2 linked regions of the Ovis aries genome follow. The protein of the gene in region 1 interacts with the protein of each later gene in a biochemical or structural test. Links are inferred from orthologs where the notes say so. Each region holds a gene or a part of one and is shown on either strand. Other genes may lie near its edges.

Region 1 (15,564 bases):
GAGCTCCTGGCCCCTTCGCAGGCGGGAGCCGGCCGGTGCTGAGAGGTTAATGGCTGGGCTGGAATCTTGTCAGTTGAGCCTGATGAATGTAGACTTTTGCTGCCGACCTTTGAAGTCTGTTCTTTTATGGCCCGGGACAATGCAAGGAGCCAAACCTAGTCCTTCCCCCCGCCGCTTCCCGCTTACAGCTTTTGGAACTTCTTGAAATGTGCATCGCGCCCATCTGGGAAAGACTTGTCTCAGGAAGTGCTGTGGGTGTCTGTGGCATTTTGGCAGGAGCACCCGCTTTACTCCCCTCCCAAACCTGAAGGCTTAGCACATTTAACGTGACATTGCATGGGTCCTCCGGACCTGTTGTTTTCGCCCCCAGAGCCACTGCAGTTTGAGCCAAGGGCAGCTCACGAACCCATAGTCTAGAGCAGTGCCTCTCAAACTGCGCTCCCTGGGGCTCTTGTGAGGTCTCGATTCTGCGGCGGTGGCGGGGGTCGGGTAGGGGAGGCGGGGAGGTGGCCATGAGTCTCAGCAGTTGCAGCAAGCCTCCAGTGATGCCGCTGTTGCTGGAGGGACAAACCTCTGTGCTCAGTGTCATCCCTCTAATTAACCGGGGGTGTGTGGAAATGCAGGTTCCGGGGTGCCACGCTGCACCCAGATGATCCCACTTCCTCGGCTGGGCCCAGAGATCTGCATTTTGACCGGCCCACCTCAGCCACATGGTTTTGCTGCTCAGAAAGTCTAGAGGACCTCTGTGGTTGCCTGAACCTCGGGGTGCTCCCTGCTGCCTCTGCTCGCCACTGGGAGGACTGAGCTCTGAGGCTTGAGGCTGAAGTGTAGAGCTCAGGGCCACTGAGGTCAAATGGAGGAGGCTGCTCTGAGATATGTCTGTCCTTGCACTCCAGAGAGGCGGTTATGCTCTGGGAGGCCGAGGGGGTTTGGGGCGGACCCTACCAGTGGGGGCAGCTGGCACCGTCAGGGGAGCAGGCCCTGCTCCTGAAGGGTGCTCATGGGTTCAGAGCAGCCGAGCTCTCGGGCACCCGCCAGGCCTGCGTTGGACTCAGATGACTATCAGCCAGGGGCTGATTTCTGCTCCCGTCATCAGAATAAACACGCCACTGCCGGGGAGGCCCTCCCAGCCAGAACAACAGGCTTTGTCTCCAGAGCTGAGCCCTTCCTCTCTCAAAGTCTCCCTCCCACTCCTGCCTGGACACGCAGGCCCTTTCTGACTGAAGGTGTGACTTTCCCACACGGTATTTGCATAGCCTCCCACCCAGCTCCTTCCCTTTCCCTTGAAAGAAAAATGAAAACAGAACCTTCTCGAGGCCTGAGGAAGTTCTGGTCGGCCCTGCTGCTCACGTAGCTGGATGGCCCGCGACCTGTAAGTGGCCCTCTGGATGGTGGCCGAGAAGGGTGTGTTTTTGCTCTGTTTCCTCCACATGAGAGAACCTGCCTGCCTCTCTTGCTCCCCAGGCGACCTGGGTTCCTTTTCCTGGACGCACGGTCTTGCTTCATTGCGAGCCTGCCAATAATATCAAACTTAATTGTGAATCATCCTGTGAGGAAAGTCGCTTCAATTTCTCATGAGAACCTTAATCATATATTATTAAACTGGGATAACTTTGTGGATGCCTGTTTTAGGGTCAGTATTTTTATTTGTTTTCTTTTGAAGTCATCCGTGGCCTCTTGTGGTTTCTTTTTTATGCTTGGGGATCCAGTCTCTCATTAATTAAGAGCTGAGGGCAGGTCCTCAGCTGTCTCTTCTTGCATTTTGTTAAGCAAATTGAAGAGGTGTAGCAAACCCTCATTTGGGAGGGAATTGGGGAAAGACAGTGACAAGAATGCTATTTCCAAATCAACTCCCTCTTAATATCTACCTTCTAGGCTAAGAGTATCAAAAGCATCACCCTGAGCTCCCACCAACTTGAGGGTCCACTTTTAAAGAAATTGCTACCAAAGCATTGACTTTGTTCTTATTTTACTCCATTAAATAGTCATTTGTCATTTAGACTGAAGTTTCATTTCAAATCAACCGGAATCCTGTGTCTGATTTTTAAACCACACATCCTGGTGGTTCTCTGTACTGGGGCGTGGATGGCTTGCTCTTAGAAGTTAGGAAGTGGTTAGTCAGAATTCTCAGGGGCTAAGTTGACTCGCGGCCATGGGTGATTAGCTATTAGCTGGATCCCTATAATTTTCCCATGACGAAGGTTTTTAGCTTGCCTTCAGCTCTCTGGAAGCAGAAAGCCTTTGCATCTTGGGGTGCTTGTTTTCCCAAGTTCAGCTGAGTGGGAAGGGGGAGACAGTTCTGACACGGCTTTCGTGGGCCCACCGTGGAAATGCTTGCCTGTCACTCTCCCTTGCTCACCCCCCCCTTCACTCTGCCATGGGGGCCCCCTCCCCTCTGCTCCAACCTGTTTGCTGAAGCTGGATTTCTGAGAAGACACAGTTGCAGAGGGCTTGAAACCTGAGGGAAGAGTAGCTGAGCCCTGCCCCAGGTGAAGGTGTGTGCTTCTGGTTTTGTTTGAGGATCAAAGGCACTCTATGGCCTCCAAAGAGTCCGATTAGTGATGCGCTTATTTACAAAGGAAATGCACCTCCATTCCCCAATACTGGATAAACTGAGTTGACTTGGTTTTTGCAAAGTGAGAAATAACTGCTATAGAATAAAGAGCATAAGCAGCCACGATGATGGGTCATAGGTCACTCACAGAGCTGGCTCTGAGCACTGTCCGCTTTCCTCGCTGTCCCTGCAGACATGTGTCCAGAGATCCAACCCCATCTCTGCGAGGAAGGGTGCCCCCTCCCTCCGTGTCCCGTCTCAGGACGCCTCCTTGGGAGGCAGTTTCCTGCCACCCTTGACATCTTGATGCCTTGTTGTGTGCTGGGGTCATGACTTGCCCTGGGAGGGACTCCAGTGGAGCTGCGGTGTAAAACTCGCCACCTTTGCAGGACTTGTGCGTGGCTGCTGTCACTGGAGGGCGAGCCCTCTCCCCCGCCCCCAGGGCTTGACTGATTCCCCACTCTGGGCTCCTGTGGGAACCGAGAAGAGAGAGGGGCTTTGTGCAGGAAGGCCCTGGCACGGGCCTCTCCCTAGACAGCCTGCCTTTTGTCGGGAGTCACCTGGGCCTGGGAGGGGCCCTCGGTCCCACTGTGAAAATGTTTGTTTAGAGGGAACCGCTGGACGGACCTTGAGCGTCCACCAGGCGGTCACCAGAACTAGCGAGCCTGGGCTTCGAGCGCTTGTGTTTCCCGGCTGGGCTCTCCCCGCCAGCTCTGGAGGGTAAGGGCTGGCGTGCTGTGTGTCCCCAGGTGCCAATATGGCTGGCAGGGCCTGTACTGCGACAAGTGCATCCCGCACCCCGGCTGCGTCCACGGCACGTGTAACGAGCCCTGGCAGTGCCTCTGTGAGACCAACTGGGGCGGCCAGCTCTGCGACAAAGGTGCGTCCACGCAGGGGCTGGGTTTCCGCTTATTCCGAATCTGCTTGAACTTGCCTTTAATGCTGTGAGTTTGGGTTTCTTTCTCTTGGTTTTAGTTTGTAAAGAGGAATGGGTCTTGGAATGCAGCAGGTGGGCGGTCTCTCTGATCTTTGAGAGACTTCTTTGGGGTCTTTTTGGCAGATCTCAACTACTGCGGGACCCACCAGCCGTGTCTCAATGGGGGAACTTGTAGCAACACAGGGCCTGACAAATACCAGTGTTCCTGCCCCGAAGGGTACTCCGGGCCCAACTGTGAAATCGGTAAGTGGTCTAGGCACAAAGAGAGCCCCTTTTCTACTTTTTGTCTGCTCAACTCAAATACACTTAGAGACTTGGAAAAGGTGAAACTCTCCTCCGGTGTTAAGACCTGTGCTCCCAGCAGCTCCGTGGCTCTCTGAAACCTCCCTCCAGTTGCTCAAGTGTTTTGGGTGTGGCTGATTGCATTGGGGCGGCGTGTGCAGGGCAGTGACCCATCTCCCAGTCGGAAGCTGGGAGAAAGGTGACCAGAGCTTAGCGAGAAAGATGACTTCCTTTTTCCCCAGACACAGCGAGGTTGGGTCCCACGCTTGCTTTCATTTCTATTTTTTTAAGTATTTATTTATTTTAAATTGATGATTGGTTTACAACATTGGTTTGATTTGTTGATCATACATCAACATGAATTAATATGCTGTACATGGGATTCCCTGGTGGCTCAGACAGTAAAGCGTCTGCCTGCAATGCGGGAGACCTGGGTTCGATCCCTGGGTCGGGAAGATCCCCTGGAGAAGGAAATGGCAACCCACTCCAGTATTCTTGCCTGGAGAATCCCATGGACGGAGGAGCCTGGTGGGCTGCAGTCCGTGGGTTCGCAGAGTCGGGCACGGCTGAGCGACTTCACTTTCACTTTTCTTTCACGTATGTTAACACAGGTGTGCATATGTCCTCTGCCTCTTGAATCTCCCTCCCACCCATTTCCACCCCTCTAGGTTATTACAGAGCCCCAGCCTGATCCCTCTGAGTCATTCAGCAAATTCCTGTTGGCTGTCTGTTTACACGTTAGTGTATATGCATCATTTCTTGAACAAGCTCAAGCTGGTGGCCTGGGGGTGGGCTTTGGGTGGGGTGGGTGGGGGGCTCGTGTCCAGTAGCCTCTTGGTGGGCGTCCCATGCTGATGGCCCTCTGGTGTCCGCAGCGGAGCACGCCTGCCTCTCTGATCCCTGCCACAACAGAGGAAGCTGCAAGGAGACCTCCCTGGGGTTCGAGTGTGAGTGTTCTCCGGGCTGGACTGGCCCCACATGCTCCACGAGTAAGTCCGGGCTTTGACCCGTGTCCTTTCTCAGTGTGGGGGTGGGTGTGTGGTGCGGGCCGCGGATCACGGTGTCGAGATGCAGACTGTCGAGGCTCCGTGTCATCTCAGTGCCAGGTCTGTCTCCGTGGGAGGGGGCAGATGTGCTCCAAGGTCTGAGCTGAGCTTCCGGCCCTGCCCGGGGAAGTCCCCAGGCTCACCTGTCTGAGGCAGCCCCTTAAGTCAGCATGTGCAGCTCTGACGGCAAGAGGCTCCCTGGGAAAGTTGTTGCTCCCTTTGCAGGTGCCCCCTGGAGCCCCGCCTCCTCTGGGTTGGATCCTGGGGGCAGTGCTTCTCCTCAAAGCCCTGCAGACGCCACCTGTGGGGGAGGTTGTCACTACTGAAGTTCATCATGGGGACAAACATTTTCCAAGAGGGACCAGGGCTACCAAGCTACAGATGTGTGGGTCCTACCGTTTGCCTTGGAGGTGGGGAGTCTGTAGTCCTTAACAAGCCCCTGGATTCCTGGGGTGTCGCCAGGCCTGAAATCCTCTGTCATCTACTCCTGAGAGCAGAAGGCGACACAGTTAAGGACACACCCCTCCAAAGGCCCTGGAGTCCAGTGCAGAAGTGGGAGGTTGGGTACCCCAGGCATGTTATTTTGGGAGAACTTTGTGAGCAGATAAGAATGTGATCTTTTTTACCAGTGAAGAAAGTTATTTATCCTTACCACTCCTTAGCTACCTCTGAGCTGCGATGAAACTTTTCTTTAGAAATAAAGGTGGGCAGAGATGCTGTCCCAAATTACCAAGGGCTGACGCCCAGGAATCCAGCTGGCTCTCCGCCTGCTTAGGTCGGGGATTAGATGAACTGGGCCAGTGGGGGATTTAAAGCTAAAATCGGGCCTTACCGTCATTGTGGCTGTGGCTTCAGGTGCCTGGCTCTTAAGTGAAGGTCCCTCATGTGAGGGGCGGTAAACTACCTGATTGTCAAGTGGACTGAGATTACGTTGCCAACCCTCTCCTCTCTCTGTCGAACAGACATTGATGACTGTTCTCCAAATAACTGTTCCCACGGGGGCACCTGCCAGGACTTGGTTAACGGATTTAAGTGCGTGTGCCCGCCCCAGTGGACTGGCAAAACGTGCCAGTTAGGTAAGAGAACTCCCGCACCAGGGTTAGCGTGAGTCCTCCAAGCTGTTAGGGAAGATGCATGTGACCGGCGGTGCCAGTTCACGCGCCGTCCCTCCCGAGAAGTCATTTATTATCAAGGGTCGCGCCAGCGAGCCTGGGAGAAATCACTCGTATGCAAATAGCCTGGCTTTTGGAGGCCCTGTGGGAAAGTCGTGGGATTCCTCGAACCATGTCAATCGTCTGTCCGAGAAGTGTTCAGCTGGGTTCCAAACGGGGATGATCTCATGAGGAATGAGCTGTCTGCATTCTTTCTGCCACTTTTAAATCCCAGCAACTAGGCTGCGCTGGGTTCTGCACAGAAGTGCCTGGTGCTTTGTGCCCTGTGGTTGGGGGCTGGCTGTTCACAGCAGCTGGGAAGTGATCAGTCAGCATGCCTTATTGGATCATGGCTAGGAGGATTCAGATGTTCCAGATAGTATCTCTTATTTATCAAGCTTATTGAAATGTCTCACTTCAGACAACCTATTGGTGGCTTCTTTTGTGGGTGTGGGAGGGTTGGGGTTGGGGGTAGAACCCCATTTCTCACTGTTCATCCTCTTTCTTTCAGATGCAAATGAATGCGAGGCCAAACCTTGTGTAAATGCCAGATCCTGCAAGAATCTGATTGCCAGCTACTACTGTGATTGCCTCCCAGGCTGGATGGGTCAAAACTGTGACATAAGTGAGTGATGTTCTCAGCACTTTGACTTTCATGACGCCAGGGTGTTGACGCTGTTGGCCAGCTACCTATAGTTAGGCTCCAGGTTTAAGACTTGAGGAGCAGAAGGAAAACCTTATAAAAGGAATGTTTTTGGAGAGGGAGTGATCGGTGAAAACATACTTGTTATCAGGCTCATTAGCGGGTAAAACGGCCGTACACTGATAAGGTGGTTAAAACAATGATGTGAAGTTACAGTAGCTCAGTCTGGAAGAATTAGGGAGTGTTCCCACCCAGTAATAACCTTATCTCATGGGAAGCACACAGGAAATCTGATTGGAGGTTTTTAATCTGTCCTGAGAGGAGAAGGCTTTTCAATTAAGCCCAGTTTCAATGTAAATTGCCCCTCTGACGTGATGGCTTGTTTATTTTTTAGATATTAATGACTGCGTTGGCCAGTGTCAGAATGATGCCTCCTGTCGGGTATGTAAACCTTTGCTTCAGTCAAAACCTTACTGATTGACAACAAGCCTAAAGATTGATGGGACCCCTGGAAAGCTCTGTCCCTGGGGGATTTTAAACTGCAGATGAAAAGTGAGGCTCTGGACGCTTCACCTGGGCTCATGTTACCCCAGCCTCCCTCCCGGGAATCATCTTGACGACATGCACATAGAAAGTCCTCTCTCACGTTTGGAGAGGCGTGGCCTCTCTCTCAGTGAATCAGCTGAACCAAAACAGTCATGCTGAACCACCGAAGCCCTGTGTTTGTGCAGCACCTAGAAAAAAATGCATGTGTTTCTCCCCCTCCTTCTCCTCCTCCAGGATTTGGTTAACGGTTATCGCTGTATCTGTCCACCTGGCTATGCAGGTGATCACTGTGAGACAGACATCGATGAGTGTGCCAGCAACCCCTGTCTCAACGGGGGTCACTGTCAGAACGAAATCAACAGATTCCAGTGTCTGTGTCCCACTGGTTTCTCTGGAAACCTCTGTCAGGTGAGCCAGGCTGCAGCGCGAATGGCCAGGTTTTCACAGATGTCTCCTCCTCTGCCTCCATCTTCCGACTGTCTGGAGTCTCCTCTTGACTAGGATCTCTGCGAGATAAGCCGTGAAAGGAGACTGATGAGTGATTGTCTTCCGGGTGTCTGTTGATTTCTTTATTTTTCACTGGAGGATGATTGCTGTGCGATGTCGTGTCTTCCGTGCAACAGCGTGAATCAGCCATAAGCACACGTGTCCTCTCCCTCGTGAACCTCCCTCCCGGCCCCCCACCAGCCTGTCAGTTTCTTTTTGTCAGTTTCATCCCAGACCCAGCGCTCTCCCACTCTGCCCTGCTTTTTCAAATGCTTACCTGGACAGTGTCTAGGACACAGCTATGAATACTGCTGCGTGTCCTCCTGACGGAAGCAGTTGAAAGGGTCACATTCTGGGGGCTGCTGCCCCAGAGGAGTCATAATCAACGCCTTTGTTTTACTTTGTTCCCTGCCTGATCCCTGGTCCCACAGCTGGACATCGACTATTGTGAGCCCAATCCCTGCCAAAATGGCGCCCAGTGCTACAACCGTGCCAGTGACTATTTCTGCAAGTGTCCTGAGGACTATGAAGGCAAGAACTGCTCCCACCTTAAAGACCACTGCCGCACCACCCCCTGCGAAGGTAGCGCTCTCCCCGCTGAACGCTGGCTCCTCTGCGAAGCTCCTCCTCCTCTCTGGCCATTTGTCACTGCCCTGGGACACTCGAGGCGGGTGTAGATTGATAGCCCCTTTGGAGGGAAGCCAGAACACGTGGAAACAATCTACCCAGGCCGCCAGTGGAGGGGCCATGCCTGCAAGTAGCCTGGGGAGAGAAGGAAATTCATTTAGCATCCCATCCTGGGATGGGCTGGTCTGCAAGCAGAGACTTTCCCTGGGGCACCCACTTCAGCAAAGCCTTCTGCCTTGGTGGTCTCTGTACCAGCACATACCAAAGCCTCAGGCCACGTGTGGTTCAGGGCATTTAGAGAGCGATCGGGGCAAGTAGAAACCCTGATTTACCTAACCTTAATTCACTTATGTAACTAGCGCCTGTGGCTGTGTGAGGTGGCTCAGCCCATAGGTTCTGTAAGTCCGTCCTGCAGCCGTGCGTGCCCCTGAGTGGAGGGGAAAGCCGTTCCTCCTCGTCAGTCAGCTTCTAGCAGAGCTGGCGGATGTAGCAGGAAGGGTGGACAGGGCCTGCATGCATGAGCTGCTCGGCTCCACAGGGAGAAAATGCCTCAAAAAAAAAAAAAAAAACTACTCTCCTGTGCGTGGAGTGTCGGCTTTACCTGTCACAGTGTATGCAGCACATGGCCATCTTGGCCCCCGAGGTGCCTTGTGGCACTTGCCTCTGGGAGAGCAGGCGGCCTGGGTCCTGGGTTCGGGGACGAGGGTCCCTGGTGGGGCGCTGAGCCCGGGCCTGTCTTGCAGTGATTGACAGCTGCACCGTGGCTATGGCCTCCAATGACACGCCGGAAGGGGTGCGCTACATTTCCTCCAATGTCTGCGGCCCCCACGGGAAGTGCAAGAGTCAGTCGGGAGGCAAGTTCACCTGTGACTGTAACAAAGGCTTCACCGGAACGTACTGCCATGAAAGTAAGACCGCGTGGCGTCAGGGCCGGGGGCGAGCACCCACCCTGCCTGGCCTAGCCGTGGGGGTGGGGGTGGGGTCTGGATCCTTGTAGGCGAGACCAGCCCAGGGGTGCCGTCCAGGATCCAAGACCGAGGTGGTGCTTACCTGAGATCACTGATGCCCCTGGGGTCTCTAGCACATCTGTTTCAGAAGGTTCTGAAACCTTCGTAGGTAGGGTGGTCCTCCTTCCGCAGCCGTTTCCTCCTGACTCTCACTGAGGAGCTTCGTGTGAGGATGTCCAATAGAATGGACAGGTTGCCCTTTGGAGGCCCCTGCTTCCCCAGCTGCCTGTCAGGTTCCAGGACGGTCCTGATGGAGTTCAGTGTGGTGGTGCCGGGTGGCTCTTCTCGGGAGGAGCTGGAAACGCCTGGGAGAGTGCTGGTGGTGGCATCGCTCGTCCTGCATTCACCCGGGTTCTATGTCCCCTCCTTCCGCAGACATTAACGACTGTGAGAGCAACCCCTGTAGAAACGGCGGCACCTGCATCGACGGCGTCAACTCCTACGCGTGCATCTGCAGCGGCGGCTGGGAGGGCGCCCACTGCGAGACCAGTGCGTCGGGCTCCCTGGGGATGGCAGCGCTGGGGGTGGGCGGCGGAGGCAGCCCAGCAGGCCTTTCCTTTTAGTGAGAATGTCTGGAAGCAAGGCCCCAGCAACTCCTGCCCTGGGACGGGAGAGCCTGTGTGCTGTTAGCATTCGGTGGTGCTCATGCCAGCCCGCGGGAGGGAGCTTCTGTGGAGATGCTTTGAGAATTAGCCCCTGGAATTAGCATGCTTGACATCCTGGCTTACAAAGAAAGGGGTCATCTTTTCCGCCCATCCTGAGTTTAACTTCCATGACTTGTCCCGGGCTCCTTTATTCCTGGGAAAGGCTGCCCCTGCTTAAGTCCCGGCTTGGCTGTGCTGGTGTTTGAACTGGGAGTGGAAAATGGGATGAAGGTGGAGAGACACGCCTCTTACATGTCGTGGGGCGTTGAAAGGCCTGGGAGTGTCTTCAGCTGGGTGTCTGCTCTCACTGCAGACATTAACGACTGCAGCCAGAACCCCTGCCACAACGGAGGCTCCTGTCGCGACTTGGTCAGTGACTTTTACTGCGACTGTAAAAACGGGTGGAAAGGCAAGACGTGCCACTCACGTAAGTGGGGGCCGGCGGGGACCCTGGCCTGTGTCGGGGGCAGGGAGGGCGGCCGGGACTCAGGCCGATCTCCGCGTGCAGGTGACAGCCAGTGTGATGAGGCCACATGCAATAACGGTGGCACCTGCTATGATGAAGGGGACGCTTTCAAGTGCATGTGCCCGGGAGGCTGGGAAGGCACGACCTGCAACATAGGTATGTTCCGCCCCCGCGGGTGCGGTGCGCGCAGGGCATCCGAGTGCCTGGGACCGCCCTCCAGGGCCTGTGTTTTGTCCCTCCCGAGGTCTCTGGAGCCTCAGGGAGCATGGTCTTGTCTGCTCTTGTCTCACAGCCCGGAACAGCAGTTGCCTGCCCAGCCCCTGCCACAATGGGGGCACCTGTGTGGTCAACGGCGAGTCCTTCACGTGTGTCTGCAAGGAAGGCTGGGAGGGGCCCATCTGCACGCAGAGTAAGTGTCCCCCCGACCCCGAGCTCTGCAAGGGCCCGTCCTGACCCCTGGGGCTGGCGATGGAAACCAGAAGCAGAGCTGTGTGATGGCTCCGTGCACAGCACCTGGGCCTGTTCTAAGGCCTTGATGGGAGGCAGCCCTGCCCTGGGCATGAGAAAGTCACCCACGAGATAAGTGGACACAGATGGCGGCTTGCTTTCTGGCTCTGGTCTGACCAAGAGCCATTCTCACAGCCCCCTTCCCGGGGCCTCTTCCTGTGTATGAGTGTCCCATGGTGACTGCAGCAAAGTGTGATGTGGGCCTGGTTCCAATTGAGCAGGGGTCTTAAGCTCCTCCTGCTGGCGTTAATGACAGCCTTATCATTTGGGTATTGTGGAAATCACGGGTGCTTTCACTTAGGGCTAAGAAGGCTTCGCTGTTAAGTTTTTGAATTTTTTTTTTTTTTTACTTTGCAGACACCAATGACTGCAGTCCTCATCCCTGGTAAGCATAGCGCCTTGTTATGCAGGCACTTGTTGGCTGTGACAGGTGTGGGCCTCTCCTGGGCCTCCTGTGTAAAATCCAGCTTCTGATTCAGGAGGGCTGGGGGTTGCTGCAGATTCCTTCTTTCCGACAAGCTCCCAGGCAGTGCCCATCACTCCAGTCTGTGGGCCACACTTCAGTCAGATGGTATCTGCGTTTAGAGCAGTGATGCTCAGACTTGGCCGTACACAGGAATCACTGGGGAGGGTTTAGTGCCTGGGACGCAACTGGAGCTCCTGCAACCAGGAATTGTCAACTGGACACTCTGGGGGTGGGACGCAGGCACTGGTGCCTGTGGGCAGGGCTGAGAGCTGCCCATCATAACCGGCGTGGGGCCACCCTTGGCGGGGGGAGTGGTAGACAGGGCGGTGGTAACCAAGTGGCCTTTGTTTTCGTAGTTATAACAGTGGCACATGCGTGGATGGTGAGAACTGGTACCGCTGTGAATGCGCCCCCGGCTTCGCTGGGCCCGACTGCAGAATAAGTAAGGACCACCTCTGACTGGTATCTCCCCAACCCTTAGTCTAAGAGTTTTCCTCTCTAAAACAGTTATGGCCATGGTTCTAAGTAGCCTTGACAATTAGTCTCCTGCTTCCAGCTGGGAGTAAGATGCCCCTGGCTGGACTCTCCCTCCCACGTGCCTCCTGGACTTTCCCTGGGGCGCACAGCCCCCCTCACTCCTGGGGAGAGAGCCTCAGCCACAGCATCTGATGGTTAATCTACTCTGAGGCTCTAAGGAAAGTGTGCTGCTCCTGTGGTAGCATGAAGCGATGGGCAAGGATGCATAGCCCCAGACCTCAGCCACAGGAAGGGCTGAGGCTGTGGTTTCCAAGGCTTGATCAGGCCCCACTGAAATGATTCAAACAAAATGAGGTCAGGAAATCCAGTTTTTTTAGGAAGTTTAAAGTTTATTCTGAGCCTTTTCCCTACTTTTTTACATGCCCTTTCTTTTGCCAAAAAAAAAAAAAAAAGTGATCAGTTATGCTTCTTTGTGTATGTTCTTATCCCTCAATAATTATTTAAACTTTTAAACTGGTCCTCCTTGAGGTCCTCAAGTCTGGATCTTCAAGAACTACTGGGTGGGGGAAAAAAAAAGTGAAAGTGAAGTCACTCAGTTGTGACCAACTCTTTGTGACCCCATGGACTGTAGCCCACCAGGCCCCTCCATCCATGGGATTCTCCAGGCAGAAATACTAGAGTGGGTTGCCATTGCCTTCTCCAGGGGGTCTTCCCGACCCAGGAATCAAACCTGCATCTCCAGCACTGCAGGCAGACTCTACCGTCTGAGCCACCAGGGGCCCCACTGGGTGGGGGCTTTGTGTCTATTTCATGTTTCTGAATCAAGGATTGGCAGATTATGGCCTGGGGGCCGAATCTGGCCCACTGCCTGTTTTTGTAAATAAAGTTTTATTGACCCACAGCCACAGTCTTGTTTATGTACTGTCAAGGGTTGTTTTCATACTGCAAGAGTTGAGCAGTTGTAACAGAGACCACATGGCCTGCAAAGCCTAAGATATGCTTGCTGGCTGACCCTTTATCAAGATCTTTGCTGGCCTCTGTTCTCTAAATTACACTATCAGAAAAGGAACATTTAATTAAAAATTGCTTTTTCCCCAAATGAGAAATTCTCAGCTGTTAGAAGTCAGGCTCGTGGTGAGCCTTGGGAGGCCGTGACCGGACACTTAGGCAGTACTGATGGTCATTTCTTCATTTGGGTGCTGGTCACATGATGAAAATGCACTCAGCCTATACTTAGACCTACAGATCTTGTCTGTGTGTTTTATCAGAAGAGCATTGGTGCCTCCCATTGGAGCCTAAACTTGAACTCCATTTCTCCTAGACATCAACGAATGCCAGTCTTCACCTTGTGCTTTTGGGGCGACCTGTGTGGATGAGATCAATGGTTACCGCTGTATCTGCCCCCCAGGGCACAGTGGTGCCAAATGCCAGGAAGGTATGTGGGCCAGGTCCTGCTGTCGTGGGTCCCCTGGGCTGAGTGGGCATTGCAGCCACCTTTTCAACTGTTCATGTGTGGACACTGTGCTCAGGGAGAGAATACAGAGGCCACGTCTGCTGGAGACACCCAGGACCGGGAAACCGGAAGGTCCTTTGAAAGCAGAGTCACTGTTAGTTTTAGCCAGCTCTTGTCACCATTATGCTCTGTAATAACCCTCCCCAACCTCTGTGCCTACAGCAGGCAGTTGTGATGTTAGTGGGTACACAGGGCAAGCAGAGTGATGGATGCCTCGCGCTGGGCACCTAGTTCTGTTCTGTGTGCCACCCCACCCTTTTTGGACCGGCACTGTACCCAGGGCGTGTCCTTTTCCTGGCAGACGGCGGGCTTTCAAGGGGCCAAGCTCACTCCCAGGGGGAGACTCCGCTCACTTCTGTCCCTGGACGCTGCACTGATCATAGCTGGTCGCGTGGCCAGGTGCAGGGCCCGCTGAGGGGGGAAGAATGCTTGCCCGCTGAGAGCAGCTGCGCTGTCACGGGGCAAAGGGCGACAGGCCTCAGCATCTCCCGCTGGGCAGGGAGTGAAGAGTCAGGAGGATGGTCCACAGAAAGGGCAGCTCCTGCCACTCACGGGTCCCTGCCTCAGTTTCAGGGAGGTCGTGCGTCACCATGGGGAGCGTGATACCCGACGGGGCCAGGTGGGACGCTGACTGCAATGCCTGCCAGTGCCTGGACGGGAGGGTCGCCTGCTCCAAGGTAGGCACGGCCTGGCCGCCCTCATCCTGGGGCCGCGCGGACCGCCGCCGGGCACCTCCTGAGCTGCGCTCTGTCTGTCCCTGCAGGTGTGGTGTGGCCCCCGCCCTTGCTCACTGCACAGAGGGCACAGTGAGTGCCCCAGTGGGCAGAGCTGCGTGCCCATCCTGGACACCCAGTGCTTCGTGCACCCCTGCACCGGGGTGGGTGAGTGCCGGTCCTCAAGCCTCCAGCCCGTGAAGACCAAGTGCGAATCTGACCCCTACTACCAGGACAACTGTGCCAACATCACGCTCACCTTCAACAAGGAGATGATGTCGCCGGTATGGGACACTTCTGGCTGGCTCTGGAGAGGTGGGGTGTGTCCGCTTGCCCTAAAGCAGAGACATCACGAGCTCGATCTCTTCCTTAGCCTGGATTCTTGTCCTTCACCAAAGCTCAGCTTGCACGCAGCCTCCCTTTCAAGTAAACAGCAGTCTTTTTTCGTTCCGCTCCCTTACACACGTGTGGATTTTAAAATATCATTCTAGGGTCTCACCACGGAGCATATTTGCAGTGAACTGCGGAATTTGAATATTTTGAAGAACGTTTCTGCCGAATATTCGCTTTACGTAGCTTGCGAGCCTTCCCCTTCTGCAAACAATGAAATGCATGTGGCCATTGTGAGTATGAGACCCATTCACGCCTAGTCGTTTCACTGAAAGTAGCCCAGAGAGCTCACTTAGCTAGTATCCAGATGAGCAGATACATGGAAGGAGAGCTTGATGTACATGTGTATTAGGAGCTCAGTTGTATCCAACTCTTTGCAACCCCATGGACCATAGCGTACCAGGCTCCTCTGTCCATAGGATTCCCTAGGCAGGAATAATGGAGTGGGTTGCCATTCCCTTCTCCAGGAGATCTTCCCAGCCCAGAAATCCCCAGCTGGGTCCTCCCCCACTGTAGACAGATTCTTTCTTGTCTGAGCCGCCAGGGAATGGCATACATGTATGGTCAAATAATTTTGAGTAAAAGTGACTGGTGAGCATCCCTGACCCCTGTGTCTGATGCTTCCTTTTTCAGTCTGCTGAAGACATCCGGGATGATGGAAACCCTATCAAGGAGATCACCGACAAAATCATAAATCTCGTCAGTAAACGAGATGGGAACAGCTCGCTGATTGCTGCCGTTTCGGAAGTCAGAGTTCAGAGGCGTCCTCTGAAGAGCAAAACAGGTAGGTGGTGGGGTCAGGGTCCCTTTCTGAGAGGACCGTCCTGTCCAGCTCATCCATAAGACCAGCACAACCTTGCATCCAGGGAAACCCCAGGCGGGAAGTTAGCTGCTGATTCCCTGTTCAAGGATCCCCATTTTTAACTAGCAAGAAGACAGAGGCCGGCTGACATGACAGGATCCCACGGCTGTGGGCAGAGGTGGCCTGACTTGTCCCTTGCCTGCGGGCTGCCTCTGGCTGCAGGCACCGCCTGGGCAGAGTGTTGCCGTACCCTGAGTACGCATCTTCGTGGAGCCTGCTTGTGCTCCGGGGTTGGGGAACAGTCCAT
Region 2 (15,564 bases), on another chromosome or scaffold:
TCTGGTCAATTCTGTCTGGTTGTTGTTAAAACCCATGAAACACAGAATGTGCAAATGACATAATGTTGCAGCAGAGTTAACCTGGTTAGCAAGATCTCTTGGTACTTCGAGGGAAAACAACCAGTAGCCTCTTGAATAAATTATTTGTATTTACCAGCTCGTGTATTTTTCTGAACTTCAAGTCTTGCCTCCATAAAGTGGGAAAATAAATGAAATGAAAACATTTGCCTGTTTTCGTAAGCCCAAGGGGAGAAGGTTGATGGTCCAAGAATGAACTAAGAATTACAATAAGACCTAATGAGATGCAACCCTAGATGGTGGATGGTGGAACCATCATTCCACCAGGGGCATTCCCTTGCCTGCAAACAATCTCCTGGAAAGAGCTTGGAGTATCATTTTTTAGAAGAGATGTAGTTATAATGGTGCCTGCTCTGAGCAGCATGTGAAAAGAAAAAGCCATCCACAATGGTGGAAAATTGATTCTCATCAAAGAGAATAGAATGTTAGAGAAATATTTATACTGTCTTAAACCTTTGGGTCAGTGGATTTTGGCTTTCCTTCTTGAGTTCGGAGTTGGCTAAATTAGAATGGAAAAGTTCCCCAGTAGTAGGCTAGTTATTGAGCAGTGAGATTAACAGGGAAGTCAAAACTAAGGAGAAACAGCCTTTAAATATTTGAAGATTTGTTCTGTTAAAGGAGAGTTGTTTTCTGCTCAGTACTTGAAAGAGAAGTAGAGGTTAATTTTAATTACTTCTAGCGGTAATATTCATTAAAAATCCTGTTACTATTTTTATTGAGGTCACATTAAATTTATGAATCTGTGTAAAGAAGACTGACATCTTTAGAATGAGAAGTCTTCCTGACCAACCCATTGTCTTTCTGTTTATTCAAGTTTCCTTTTGTGTCTTTTAGGTCTACTTTTAAGTCTTCATGTAGGTGTAGTGCATTTCTTGTTAAGATTATTCTTAGATATTTTATCTTTTGCCTGGCATGCTGCAGTTCATGGGGTCACAAAGAGTCGGCCACGACTGAGCGACTGAACTGAACTGATTGCTGTTGAAACTGAGGCCTTTTTTAAAAAAAAACATTTTTCTTTTCTTTCCAATAGTCTTGCTATTACAAGTGGTAAGAATACAGTATTGTTTTTCTTTCTTCTGTAATTTTTTTGAATTGATCATGAAATCACTTCTAGAATAGTCATTGATTTCTTTTGTTTCTTCCTCGAAAATATGTACGGATGTTCATACTTGATGGGCCTTTTACATCTATAGCACATTAAATGAGTTCTGTTTTAAATGGAATAACCTTTGAGCTCTCAACAGGATATTTCCCTTCTATTTTTTTGATATTTGTGCACTTACACTGTTTTACAGAAAAAGTCATTCGTGTGATTCAAAATTTACTTCCAGTTCTTACCAGTGATTACTTGTAGTCTATTTATTTATAGTTATATTCTTTTTAACTGTTTTTATATTTTAAATCAAAACAAATAAATTAATGAAAAGTTACCAAATCTCTCTTGAGTTCCAATTTCCTCACCTTTCAAGTGGAAAAATAATACTAGCTATGCCCTAAGGGATTGCTTCATCACTGGGTTGTGTGGGGAGTACATGAGAAGCCCTGAGTACATCCTTTGCTTACTGGTGTCCAAGAGGATGGGCACAATCCTGGGTCAAGCGTGTGTTATGCCCTGCCTGATCAAAATGGTTCCAGCCTGACTAATTGTGGAAATGCCACCAGGGCTGGTTTTCCCTTCCTGGAAGGCAGCGTTCCAAGAACCGTCATAATTTCCTCTCCCTCCTCTCTCTCCTCCAGGCCTGCTTTGTGAAGAGAACATTGACGACTGTGCCAGAGGTCCCCACTGCCTTAATGGTGGCCAGTGCGTAGACAGGATTGGGGGCTACAGTTGTCGCTGCTTGCCAGGCTTTGCTGGAGAACGCTGCGAGGGGGACATCAACGAGTGCCTGTCCAGCCCGTGCAGCTCTGAGGGCAGCCTGGACTGCATTCAGCTCACCAATGACTACCTGTGCGTCTGCCGCAGCACCTTCACTGGTGAGCTGAGCACCTTTCCAGCTTCCCCAGCCACTCTGCCTCGCAGTGGGGTGGGGGTTTCAGTGAGGAAACTGGGCCCTGCATGACACATCTAGACCAAGGGAACCTTTTCTGGCCCATAGACTGTAGCCTGCCTGGCTCCTCTGTCTGTGGGATTCTCCAAGCAAGAATACTGGCATGGGTTGCCATTTCCTTCTCCAGGGGATCTTCCTGACCCAGGGATCAAACCCGGGTCTCTTGCATTGCAGGCAGATTCTTTACCATCTGAGCCACCAGGGAAGGCCACAGGTAGTCGCTGGTGAGCTGTATGCAGTCCAGGCTGCCCTCAGAGGTGCAAGGGTGAAAATCTAGACCAGCTTAATTCAAGAGCCCAACTTTTTCCTAGGCCTGTGCTCCATAGATGTTTGTGTTTCCTGAGAGATCCTATCTCTTTTGTTACATATTAATTACATCTTATTGTAGCAGAAATATGAAAAAAAGAAATAGAATGTTGGGAGAAGTTGAGCAAAGTAACATTTTTAAATTGAGGTAAAATACATATGAATAAAGTTTACCATCTTTACCATTTTTAGGTATGCAGTTCAGTGGTATTGAGGATATTCACATTGTTATGCCACCATCCATCTCTGGAACTCATTTCATCTCATGTTCAGGAACCTTATATCTAACTCTGGTTTTGTCACCCTGCCTCCTGTGGCATGTAGTGACTTGAGTGCCTGGGTTGTTGCTGCCATAGTGACCTTTCTACCTTCTGGGATCCAAAGAAGTTTAGGTCTTCTTGGACGATTAAAGGGAATAGATCCAAATTGGGCTGTTTAACCAAAAACTAACTGATGAGGGTATGAACAGGAAAACTTCAGAGGTCACAAGCAGGGCCTGCACGCTAAGACTTGGCTGTGTTCATCACAGATTACAAAGATGAGTGAGTCCTGCCTCCGAATAGGGGTTTTATCATAGACGGTTACTAATTATTTCTGTAGAATGGCAACTTGGTGACTTTGGGGGACTAAAATAGCTGTTTATATCTAAATATGGCAGTGCCATCAGTTACCCGGAAATCTGTCTTGCACTCTGGGGTCAGCTCAAATCTTTTGCTGTAGAAGTATTCTTTGGAAGTCAGATGACAGTCTGCATTAGTCTGCTTACTAGTAATCTGGAAAGTTGAACTCTGCTACATTCTGGGCTTATTATATCCAGACATCCCCCCCTTCCAGTTTTAAAGATATATTACCTTTAAGAACTTTGGAATCTTATTTTAAAAAAGGGGGGGAGGTAGATTTTGAAATATGGAAAACACCTAGGTACAGCATCAAAAGAGAAACAATCCAATACCAACGTCATATGTTTGAGGCAACCCTGGACAGAAAGACTATGAACAAATCTGTCGTCTCACACTGGTCATGATATGCTTGAGAACTAGAAGACCACTGACTCCTGTTCCTTTCATTACCTCTGAGGCTTCCTTTATCTGGAAGTGCTGATGAGCCCTAGGAAGAAAGAAGGAAATACACGAAAGGAGTGGAAACCACCTTGAATTGGGGTCCCATAGCCAGAAGTGGCGGAGAAGGCAATGGCACCCCACTCCAGTACTCTTGCCTGGAAAATCCCATGGACGGGGGAGCCTGGTAGGCTGCAGTCCGTGGGGTCGCTGAGGGTCGGACACGACTGAGCGACTTCACTTTCACTTTTCACTTGCATGCACTGGAGAAGGAAATGGCAACCCACTCCAGTGTTCTTGCCTGGAGAATCCCCGGGACGGGGGAGCCTGGAGGGCTGCCGTCTGTGGGGTCGCACAGAGTCAGACATGACTGAAGAGACTTAGCAGCAGCAGCAGCAGCCAGAAGTGGTGTTTCTGTTTTCCACACCTGGGAATTGAAAAATCCTTTGACTTCAATCACAATTATGGTGGGAATGTTAAGCTGTGGGGGTTTGGTATGTTTGCTTTAAATTTTTATTGGAATATAATTGCTTTGCAATGCTGTGTTAGTTTCTGCTAACACAAGCTGTGCAGGTAGTGCTAACATAAGCTGTGTTTTAAAACAATGCCGATAAGGTTACAGAAAGGCTGGAACATTTTAAAACAGATGTCACTGATAAAAATTCAATATAAACTGCAAATCGACATTTTTAAAAATTAATTTAATTGGGGGCTAATTACTTTACAGTATTGTGGTGGGTTTTGCCGTACATTAACATGAATTAGCCATGGCCCCTGTCCCAAAAGTTTTTCCTTTTAATTTTTATTACAATATAGTTGATTTACAGTGTTGTGTTATTTTCTGCTATACAGCAAAGTGAGTCAGTTATACATATTCATCAATCCACTCTATTTTAGATTATTTCCCCATGTAGGTCATTGCAGACTACTGAGTTAAGTTCCCTGTGCTATACAGTAGGTTCTTATTAGTTATCGGTTTTACCTATAGTAGCATAGATATGTTAATCACTGTTTTAGATGTATTGGCCTGGTGTAGCCTGTCCAGGCTACTGTAACCCCACTCCAGTACTCTTGCCTGGAGAATCCCATGGACGGAGGAGCCTGGAAGGCTGCAGTCCATGGGGTCACTGAGGTCGGACACGACTGAGTGACTCCACTTTCACTTTTCACTTTCATGCATTGGAGAAGGAAATGGCAACCCACTCCAGTGTTCTTGCCTGGAGAATCCCAGGGACAGGGGAGCCTGGTGGGCTGCTATCTATGGGGTCGCACAGAGTCAGACACGACTGAAGCGACTTAGCAGCAGCAGCAGCCTGTCTCATGAAGTAGACAGTGTTAACAAAATGCAGTGAATTTTTGCTAAATGCTTTTGACTTACGAAAGCTAAAGTGCCTTTAAAAGAGCTTAGGTGTCGTTTTCTTTTTTTTTTTTTTTGAGGAGTTAGTCATTTTTTGTACATATCTTATTTTGTGAGTCAGTTCAGTCATGTGCCATTTGCACTTATTACTGTAGATAAGACAGATGAGGGAACTGTCCTGAGTGGATGATGGGCCGAGGATGTTGGGATCTGGCGTGTGCCTTCCTCATCCTCTCTTGTCCCCTTAGGCTTAGAACTCAATTCTCACACCTCTTGCTCCCTCTCTAATCCTTTGACTAGCTCACATCCCAGTAGTATCCTGTTCAATAACCTGAGTTACTGCTTCCACCTTTTAAAACCCCCTTTCATTTTCTACTCTGAGGTCGTCACTGTGAAACGTTCGTCGACATGTGTCCCCAGATGCCTTGCCTGAATGGAGGCACTTGTGCTGTGGCCAGCAACATGCCCGATGGTTTCATCTGTCGCTGTCCCCCGGTGAGTGCCACAGTGCCTACTGAATTCCATATAGCCTGTGACAGAGCCGAGACGAAACCTGGCATTTCCGAGCTCGGTGGGGAGCTTTCTTGGTGGGGACGTTTCTTAATGTTAGCCTCTTTAGGAGAAAGTACTTCCGTTTTCCTCTTAAAACTATTAAAATACTTCGGGAAACAGTGAGCTCCCTGATCTGTGACTGTCAGTCCTCAGAAGCACTGAGGGCAGTGGGATATTCCCTTGGGAACAGGGCTAGTGTATTTGGCTTCTGGGTCTTGTGCTGGAGGGTGGTCTTGCCGCCCAGACTGGGACAGAGTATTGGAAATGCTACTCTGCTCACATCCCTCGACAGCAGTTATTTGGGAACAGATTGCTTCTTCAACTAGAAGGAAGTCTTAACGTTAGCCATTTGCTCTGCAAACACTTTTGCTCCTGCCAGAAGCTAAAAGCTTCCTAATAGATGAGTAGAGGGATATCAAAAGGAAACCTGTCCAGTAACCTTGGCCTGGACTGAGCCAGGCGTCCAAGTACGAAATGACATAGGAAAGTCTTTTAGACATCTGATCCTCTGAAGTGTGTTCTTTCCCCTGTAAAGTCACTGTATGAGTGATCTACTGATGATTTGGAAAGGTGCTAATAGGTTCAGGGTCACCTTATCCTAATGTGAACTCCGGACTTCATTTCTAGAAGCAAGCTCTTAAGAGTAAAAAAGTTCTGTATTCATCCTGGAACCACCACCCTGACCTGTAGGTTGACTTGAAGAAGTCTCTTCCTATAACTCGGTCCAGGAGGCTACCTGGAGGGATCTTACTCAAGAGCCTAGTCTTTACCTCCCTAGAGGTGTGGCGGTGAGGGGCCCAGGGGAGAATGGGGCCTGCCCTCACGAGTCACCTGCCATCCTCACTCGTCCACTGATTCTCACAGGGCTTCTCTGGGGTGCGGTGCCAGAGCACCTGCGGACAGGTGAAGTGCAGGAGAGGGGAGCAGTGTGTGCACACGGCCTCGGGCCCCCGCTGCTTCTGCCCCAACCCCCAGGACTGCGACTCGGGCTGCGCCAGTAGCCCCTGCCAGCACGGGGGGAGCTGCCACCCTCAGCGCCAGCCTCCGTACTACTCGTGCCAGTGTGCCCCGCCCTTCCGGGGCAGCCACTGTGAACTCTACAGCACCCCCACCAGCACCCCTCCCGCCACCTGCCTGAGCCAGTATTGTGCCGACAAAGCTCGGGACGGCATCTGTGATGACGTGTGCAACAGCCATGCCTGCCAGTGGGACGGGGGGGACTGTTCCCTCACCATGGAAGACCCCTGGGCCAATTGCTCCTCCCCGCTGCCCTGCTGGGAGTACATCAACAACCAGTGCGACGAGCTGTGCAACACGGCCGAGTGCCTGTTTGACAACTTTGAATGCCAGAAGAGTAGCAAGACATGCAAGTAAGCGCCCAGGGTCCCCAGAACTGAGGGGCAGCGCTGTCACTAACACACCTCGGTCTCTTGTTCTTTTGCTGCTAACCACTCCAGTGCTTCTGCCCAAGCCACCTCCGCCTTCTGGACTGGCACCAGTTGCCCTCTTCTCCCTGGTGCCACCCTGCCCCATCACACACTACCCTGTGCTCTCCCTTGCTGACCGAGGGGCAGAAACGCTCACTGCACAGCCACTCTCTCTCTGCCTGTCTCTGCTTCCTCGCCTGCTGCTGTCACAGGTTCCCAGGGGAATGGACTTTTGGAAGTGTTACCCACTGTCAGGCAGCCTCTCACATAATCTGCCTGCAGCATGGTTGCAAAGGTCTGTACCCCTCTCTATTCATCCCATGCCTTTCCCTAAGACTGGGTTTCCCCTCCAGACTTATCGGGAAGCATCTGCTAGATTAGTCAGCTTAACCCTCCTGGTCTTCACTGCTGCAACTGTAGGGGGCTTTGTGGGTTACATAATAGCTTTCCATTTAGTCATCCCATTTGGTTCAACCCTGATTAATTCTCAACAACCTTGTGAGGCATAGGTGGTGTTAATGGCCTTTAACAGGCCAGGGAAGGGAGACTTGGGAAGTTCAAGAACTTGCCAGAGCAGATACAGCTCCTCCTGACTCCTGATCTCACTGAGCTAGAGTGGCAAGTTGGACCGAGTGGTGTAACCATCAGGGATAGGAGTGAGGAGGGAGAAGGGGTGAGTGGAAATCAAACGATTTTTGCATCAACGGGCTTTGGGAGTCAGTTTCCATTTCCCAATGTTTGAAAGATGCTGTATGAATTAGATCTGGTATCCTGTGTGGGACACACTTCTCGCCACCTACCTTCCACAGTAAAGATACAGTCTTGATTAGAAAAGAAATGGGCCATATCAAATGGGCCAAAGGTCAACTGTACAGCATCTCTTGTTGGTATGGGGCTACTTTCCAGTTTGTGGAAGCACTCTCTAGAGTCTTGTTTTACTGCTGGAAGCCCAGAGACAATGGATATAAAAATAAAGAAAACATGAGCCAGGTATTTTTGTTTCAGATTTGTTTACAAATCTGATTTAACATGATGACAAGCTGCCTAGGGGCCCATGAGTTTAGTGAGTAGCTTTGTTTCTCATTCAGAGAGCACTCACTGATGCTAAGGTGTATAGACTGTATATACTGTAAGCAGTCAGGCACGGAGAGTCACAGAGGCTTCAGAGGACTTTCAGGATCTAATCTGAGCTGTAGAAGATGGGTAGGAAAATCCGCATTAGTTCCAAGTGGAAAACAGAGTTCCACTGTAATCTTACCATGTTCTCTGCCTCCCTCTGCCTAGATATGACAAGTACTGTGCAGACCACTACGAAGACAACCACTGTGACCAGGGTTGCAACAGTGAGGAGTGTGGCTGGGATGGGCTGGACTGTGCTGCGGACCGGCCAGAAAACCTGGCAGAGGGCACCCTCGTCATTGTGGTGCTGATGCCCCCTGAACAGCTGCTCCAGGATGCCCGCAGATTCTTGCGGGCACTGGGCACCCTGCTCCACACCAACCTCCGCATCAAACGGGATGCACAGGGGGAGCTCATGGTCTACCCCTATTATGGTGGGAAGTCAGCTGCCATGAAGAAGCAGAGATTGACACGCAGGTCCCTTCCTGGAGATGAAGAACAGGAAGTGGCTGGGTAGGTGTCTAATTTCTGAACTTAAAGCTTAATTTTATCAAGCTGAGCACTTTGATACACAGATATCATAACTGCAACTGCACCTATCAAGATGGAAGGTCAGAAAACAAAACAGTCAACCGAATAACACAAGCCTGTAATACCAGTCTTTACAGTCAGTGCTCAAGGTTTGCCTTGATCTTGGAATCCTGAAAAGTGGGCTGAAGCAAGTCAAGTGGCAGGACGTCAGAACGGGCTCCTCATGTGCTAGAATCTAACCATTTGCCAGAGTTGGCGTAAATCCTTCTAGTGATGACTCCTCTTTGTATTAATCCTGGACTTCTTTTCAAGGCCCTTCATTTCTGTCCCTTTGACAAGGGTGATGTTCTGCATATATTATGTCATCCACACTCAGGATTTTTTGGTATCTCACAATGTTCAGCTTGCTAGCTAGCTCGAGTACGGATGCAGAGAGAAAGGAGAGTAAGGAACAAAAAGAAAAAGGTAGGGGTATGTTTTTAGAGTAGCTGTATGTACCGTTGAATACACCGGAAGGGGGAAGGGGTAGAAGCAGCCCACCAAAGGCAACTTCACCCCATTTTCTCAATGTGTCTTATGTTGCCTAAAAGTCAAAACAGTTAGATGCAGCCAAACCAAGAACGTGAAAGTGTTAGTCACTCAGTCATGTCCGACTCTTTGTGACTCATGGACTGTAGCCCACCCTAAGTGAGAATTAGGATGTAAACCATATCTTAATTTCTGGGATCTTCCTGGAGACAGCATCCCAGAGGTAGAGAGCCCGAGGCTGAGGGTGAGGAAGCAGGTCTACCTCAGATTCCTGGGTTGACATTTTCTCGCCATTTCTCCTTGGCTCCCCACAGCTCTCAGGTATTTCTGGAGATTGACAACCGCCAGTGTGTTCAAGACTCAGACCAGTGCTTTAAGAACACAGACGCAGCAGCAGCTCTTCTGGCTTCTCACGCCATCCAGGGGACCCTGTCGTACCCACTTGTGTCTGTCGTCAGTGAGTAGCTCTAAAATTAAGGGGAAAGTGTGCTAAGGAATGCCACTTGCAGGCAGAGAGAACGGGGCACAGCTTACAGTGTGCAGCGCTCTGTTTCTCAGGGCTAGCGAGGTCAAAGTTGTTCTCTGAAGGAGTTTAGTGGGAATATTGAGAGGTGGATGTTTTGTTCACCACTTTCCCTATCTCTCTGCACTTGCAGGTGAATCTCTGGCCCCAAAACGCACTCCGCTTCTCTATCTGCTTGCTGTTGCCGTTGTCATTATCTTGTTTATTATCCTGCTGGGGGTTATCATGGCAAAACGAAAGCGCAAGCATGGCTCCCTCTGGCTGCCTGAAGGTTTCACCCTTCGCCGTGACTCCAGCAACCACAAACGTCGTGAGCCAGTGGGCCAGGATGCTGTGGGACTCAAGTAAGAGTTTGTCAACAAGCTAATATTCACAGTAGTAACAAGTATGGATAAGTGGAAAATCAGATCTTGTTGAATCATGATTTTAAATTCAGAGTTCTGGCCATGCCATGCTACTGTACTTGCCCATGATGCTGAATGCCTGCTTGTGGCTATAAAATGAGAGTCTGGATGCTTCAGTTCTGTATATATTATCACAAGGATGCTCAGCTTTTGTGATGAGACATGCCTTTGTCGTAAGCTCTTGCTTAGTGGGGAAGGAAATGATTTTTACTCAGGCAATGGGATGTAATATTGCCCATTTTTTCCCTGGGTCCTGAAAGTCTGACTGTAGCCATGAGAATGTGTGATGGCAGAAAAATTGTGAAAATTTCTATGTTCTTTTATGATATAACCCTGTCCTTTATACCTTCATGATTCTGTCATGTTAGAAATCTCTCAGTGCAAGTCTCAGAGGCTAACCTAATTGGTTCCGGAACGAGTGAACACTGGGTCGACGATGAAGGGCCCCAGCCTAAGAAAGCCAAGGTAAGCTGGCCGTGGTAGAAGCTAATAATCATTATTAGCCATTGTCTGCTCATATTTCACGTTTTTGTCCTTTGGTATCTAGAGTATCATGAGTGGGAGAGAAGGGTGGTAGTCTGTACATGTTGCCCAGGCCTTGACTATCCTAGGTTGTTTCAAAAATCAGGAATATTTAGGTCATTGATGGCCTTGGGTTACTATGTAAGTTTTTCAGAAAGAACTCTTTAAAAATAATAAAACAAACATGCTTCCTTCCTCAAATGTCAGGTTGATGGTACTTGAATAAGGACTATTATGTGTAAACACCAGTTTCTTTCATAGCCAGATCTCTCCCTTATTCTCTCTGGATACTTCAAGGGAAGGTGGAGTTAGTTAGTGGAGGAAAGCCGGTGATCACTGAGTTTAGAGGCTTTAAATCTTGATCCCTGGAAACGAAAGCCATATAGCAGTAAGAGGTACATTGGGCTGGGTCTGACATGAAAAAGGAGACCATTCACCCATAGACATACACGGCTGGGATATGCATGTATTCCACGGATATTCTGAGGAAATAAAGTTGAGGAAAACAGGCATGATGGTTAAGAAAATTACTACAGTCAGGACTGGATTCAAGTCCCAAACTCTGGCACATTATTTAACCTCTTCATGTTTACTTATCCTTAATCTGTAAGATAGGGAAAATAATAATGATTCTTTCAATATGGGTGAATTGCCTTACCTGTTTTCTATCACATACTGAATATTCTGTAAAGGTCAGCTGCTTTTAAAAGTATAATAACTATCCAGCAAATACTTCCTGAATGCTGGCTCTGTGCTGGGCATTGGGGTGGATACAGGGTACAAGGAGGCAGCCTTGAACAAGGCTTGCTCCCTGTCCTGAGGAACCTTTCAGGTAGCAGTGGGAACTGCCATGCAATGCTGTGTAAGCACCTAACATAACGCTTTGTTAAGGAGAGTGAGCAGCGTGTGTTCTTTAGGAGGAATTAAAGTCTGCGCTCTACTTGAAGGGTAGCTAGAAGTTAGTCAGTCAAAGAATTGGGAGAGATCCTGGGGGCGTACCAGAGTGATCAGGAGAGTTTACCTCTTCTTTCAGGCTGAAGATGAGGCTTTGCTCTCAGAAGAAGATGACCCCATCGATCGGCGTCCATGGACACAGCAGCACCTGGAAGCTGCAGACATCCGTAGGACACCATCGCTGGCTCTCACCCCTCCACAGGCAGAACAAGAGGTGGACGTGCTGGATGTGAACGTCCGCGGCCCAGGTTAGTGCCTGCGAGCCTTCTCTCTTCACTGTGCCATGCCCACCCCCGGTTCCACCTTATCCCTGTGTTTGCCCCACTCAGTGATCGAGGAAATCAGACTGGAAATCAGCTTGAGGAAATGAATGTCTAAGGCAAACAGGCTTACAGAAATAAAATTTGTATGAGAAAAGAGGCAGGATTTCATTTTGTTTCACCTTCTGCATGCATACATGCTAAGTTGCTTCAGTCGTGTCCGCCTCTGCGACCCCATGGACTGTAGCCTGCCAGGCTCCTCTGACCATGGAATTCTCCAGGCAAGAACACTGGAGTGCTTTGCCATGCCCTCCTCCAGGGGATCTTCCTGACCGAGGGATCAAACCCACCTCTCCTGCATTGCAGGCAGATTCTTTACCACTGAACCACCAGGGAAGCCCTCACATAATGCATGTTCAGCAACAAAAAGGGTGATTATTTGGGATAGATTTTAGTGGCATAAAAAAATAATATCCCAAAGCAGAGGAATAGAAAATTTGTTTAGTTCGTACCTTAGTGTATATAGTTTATTAATACTGGATATTTTTAAATGGCCAATTTAAAAAAGCATAGCACTTAGAAACTTGAATAGAAAAGCTTGTTTAACTTAGAGACTAGCTCCTCTTTACAGAAAGGATACTATCAAGGGAAAATCAATCGCCATTTATCACAAGAAGCACAGGGTTTTTTTCCGAAAAGAATAATTTTCTTCAAATTGAGCTCTTCCAGCAATAGGGTTAAGTGAACATGAATGTCCTTCCCCTCCTTGAATGCTATTTGGAATTTCCTTTTCCTCCAGATGGGTGCACCCCACTGATGCTGGCTTCTCTCCGAGGAGGCAGCTCAGACATGAGTGATGAAGATGAAGATGCAGAGGACTCTTCTGCTAACATCATCACAGACTTAGTCTACCAGGGTGCCAGCCTCCAAGCACAGACAGACCGGACGGGTGAGATGGCCCTGCACCTCGCAGCCCGGTACTCAAGGGCCGATGCTGCCAAGCGTCTCCTGGATGCAGGAGCAGATGCCAATGCCCAGGACAACATGGGCCGCTGCCCTCTCCATGCTGCAGTGGCCGCTGATGCCCAAGGTGTCTTCCAGGTAAAGATCATGTAAAGAGTTGACTCCTAAGGAACCTAGAATGTTTCCCCTTCATTAAGACATGTAATAACCCATTATATTTGTTCAGTGATTCTTTGAGAGAATAAGGCAGATGATAAAGTCATGCTTGCTGGATAGGAAAGCAGGAAGGGAGGCAGGCAGGCAGAGCTGACCATATACAGCTAGCTCATAGTAAAGCAGGTAACACCAGTCTTCTGATTGTTCGTCAGTGCTTTGTTTTTTGCTTGTTTGTTTTGTTTTTGATGAGGCAAAATAACCTCCCAAATGAAAAGATCAGGTGCATGACACCTGCCTCCGACTAGTGGCTGTCAGCTTCTCCCTCGAGATTTATCTGACTGTATGGGCTTCCAGCTGCTCCTTGGTGGTTTTCCTGACATGAGTTCACAGTGCACACCTGATGCCCTATTATTTTAGCCTTAAGAGGAAATTGAAAGCAATTCTGTATCGTCTTAACTTGTACACCACAATGGAGGTTGTGGTATTTTTCCACTTCCCTCTTCTTTCTTTAGAAAGCAGAGGTACATTAATTTACAAAGCCATTGTAGAGCTTGAGCACCTGTTTGTGTATTCATTCATCCTATTCCTTTATTCATTCATTCCTTAGATATTAGTTGATTGACTCTAGGAGAACCTGGACACGAAGATAGCAAAACATTCCCTGCCCTCCAGGAACTTACTGTAGAGCCTCAACTCTGATGCTTTTATGTCTGTCTTATCTTAGCTTCATTATTTTTTGTATTCAGCTGACTCTTTTCTGTACTTTCTCATATTCTAGATACTGATCCGCAACCGAGTAACTGATCTAGACGCGAGGATGAATGATGGCACTACACCCCTGATCCTGGCTGCCCGGCTGGCTGTGGAGGGAATGGTGGCAGAGCTGATCAACTGCCAGGCAGATGTGAATGCAGTGGATGACCATGGTAGGGATGAGCAGCAGGGATTCAGATTCCTACCTGCAAAGCAGGCCTCTAAGGAAAGAATTATTGCATGATCCCTAGAGAGTTGTCTCAGATCCGAACCCACTGAAGATTCGTTCATTCATTCCGTCTTCCTTTTGCAATATTGAGTTCAGAGATCTGAGACAGTGTGAAGTCCATAGATAAAGTTGGGAAGGGATTTTTAGTGAGAGTTCTTGGATCTAAGAGCAGGTCTGTGAGAGTTTTCCTGCATAAGTTCCCAGGTATACCACTCTTGTTATGAGGATATGAGAGCTGACTTCATGGAAGGGGTAGGGTGGTGAGATATTCTAACTATATATCCTGGCATGTAATAAAAAAGCAGGTTATTGTCTTCAGCATGTGACAGGGTAGATTCTGCCACACAAAGGATGTGGTACCGTAGACAGATGATCCTTTTACTTTGAGGTCTTCTGAAAGCTAGGCAGCCTGTACCAAAGTATTTCTAGAATAGGGGAATATGAAGATAATCTTTGATTTTTCCTGTGGGCCCCCAGAGAAAACTGGCTTCTAGCTGTTGTCTGAGAAGTTCAAGGTTTCCTTGTTAACCTCTTACTCTGTCTGCTTATAAAAATGTTTTTTCCTGCAGGAAAATCTGCCCTTCACTGGGCAGCTGCTGTGAATAATGTGGAGGCAACCCTTTTGCTGTTGAAAAATGGGGCCAACCGAGACATGCAGGACAACAAGGTACAGTCTGGGCTCTGAGCTAGGGGGCAGGTACAGCAGTGCCTCGGATTATGTATGAGACCATTCCTTTTCTCCTGTAGCTGCTCTGTAATAAGGATAGACAAAGATGGAAGCAGATTGGGCAGGAAATGGGTCCAGAGTGCCTGAGTGCTTGCATTGGGCTTATCCAGTGAAATGTCAGAGTTGACCCTTAGGCTGCTCACTGTGCACCAGGCTGTCCCTTTGATAACTTTGGTGTAAACTTTTCTGCCTTTCTTTGACATTTCCCTTTTTCCTGGTCTTTGTTCTGTTCGCACACACTTCCTTCCTTTTCACTTGTTTGTTCTTCTTTGTTTTCCTGATGCTCCGCGTCCTCCAGCCCTGCCCCGTTCTTGGGCTCCATGATGTTTTCCTGCTTCCTCTGACTTCCGTGTCATGCTTCCCTCTGTTGCTCACCTTATCTTCTCTTGCTCATTTCCTCTTTTCCATTATTTTGTTCTTTGTCTCAGATGTTTCGTCTTTCTTTCTTTCACTTTCCCTTATTTTTCTCTACGTGCTTTAGGTTCTTCCCCTCATACCTTTATTTCTGTTACTCCTTTTAGAACCCTATTTTGATAAGCTCAGTGCTCTTGCAGGTGAATTTATGGCTCAGGGACATGCTTTATTTCACACTTCCCCATTAAGAAAACATAGCCCTCAGTAGGGCAAAGCTGGATCTTGGGGAGAAGTAAAATAATTTTTCTTTATGTATAAATTACAGATAGCCATTCAGTACATAGGTAGGTGCACACTTTTTATCTGTGGTATTAAAATTTCATGTGGGAAGGCAGTTAGGAAAAAATGTCTAAAGGAGTGATAACAAAAAGATTGAGAAACATGGCTGTATTCTCAGGAGTGTTATTAAAATGCACTCTGCATGGGCTTTTTCTTTCTTTTTTTCTGTAGGAGGAGACACCCCTGTTTCTTGCTGCCCGGGAGGGGAGCTATGAAGCAGCCAAGATCCTGTTAGACCATTTTGCCAATCGGGACATCACAGACCACATGGATCGTCTTCCTCGGGACGTGGCCCGGGACCGCATGCACCATGACATCGTGCGCCTGCTGGACGAGTACAACGTGACGCCCAGCCCCCCCGGCACAGTGCTGACTT

The links.
Region 2: the proteins of JAG1 (region 1) and NOTCH2 form a complex in vitro, tested with the Homo sapiens proteins (2 studies listed by BioGRID). The link is inferred for Ovis aries from reciprocal best matches to the Homo sapiens genes JAG1 and NOTCH2.

The regions. Positions count from the first base shown.
Region 1 is NC_056066.1:3,767,825-3,783,388, reverse strand, and holds part of JAG1 (protein jagged-1), read left to right. Parts: intron 1-3,303; coding exon 3,304-3,434; intron 3,435-3,614; coding exon 3,615-3,734; intron 3,735-4,648; coding exon 4,649-4,762; intron 4,763-5,781; coding exon 5,782-5,895; intron 5,896-6,481; coding exon 6,482-6,595; intron 6,596-7,007; coding exon 7,008-7,054; intron 7,055-7,393; coding exon 7,394-7,567; intron 7,568-8,076; coding exon 8,077-8,227; intron 8,228-9,015; coding exon 9,016-9,180; intron 9,181-9,654; coding exon 9,655-9,768; intron 9,769-10,236; coding exon 10,237-10,350; intron 10,351-10,431; coding exon 10,432-10,545; intron 10,546-10,681; coding exon 10,682-10,798; intron 10,799-11,253; coding exon 11,254-11,281; intron 11,282-11,718; coding exon 11,719-11,804; intron 11,805-13,160; coding exon 13,161-13,274; intron 13,275-13,919; coding exon 13,920-14,029; intron 14,030-14,115; coding exon 14,116-14,349; intron 14,350-14,556; coding exon 14,557-14,688; intron 14,689-15,088; coding exon 15,089-15,239; and 1 more. UniProt on the Homo sapiens protein: Ligand for multiple Notch receptors and involved in the mediation of Notch signaling. May be involved in cell-fate decisions during hematopoiesis. Seems to be involved in early and late stages of mammalian cardiovascular development.
Region 2 is NC_056054.1:97,294,790-97,310,353, reverse strand, and holds part of NOTCH2 (neurogenic locus notch homolog protein 2), read left to right. Parts: intron 1-1,815; coding exon 1,816-2,052; intron 2,053-5,229; coding exon 5,230-5,342; intron 5,343-6,263; coding exon 6,264-6,769; intron 6,770-8,110; coding exon 8,111-8,458; intron 8,459-9,318; coding exon 9,319-9,461; intron 9,462-9,660; coding exon 9,661-9,871; intron 9,872-10,299; coding exon 10,300-10,396; intron 10,397-11,486; coding exon 11,487-11,655; intron 11,656-12,466; coding exon 12,467-12,768; intron 12,769-13,564; coding exon 13,565-13,712; intron 13,713-14,337; coding exon 14,338-14,435; intron 14,436-15,359; coding exon 15,360-15,564. UniProt on the Homo sapiens protein: Functions as a receptor for membrane-bound ligands Jagged-1 (JAG1), Jagged-2 (JAG2) and Delta-1 (DLL1) to regulate cell-fate determination.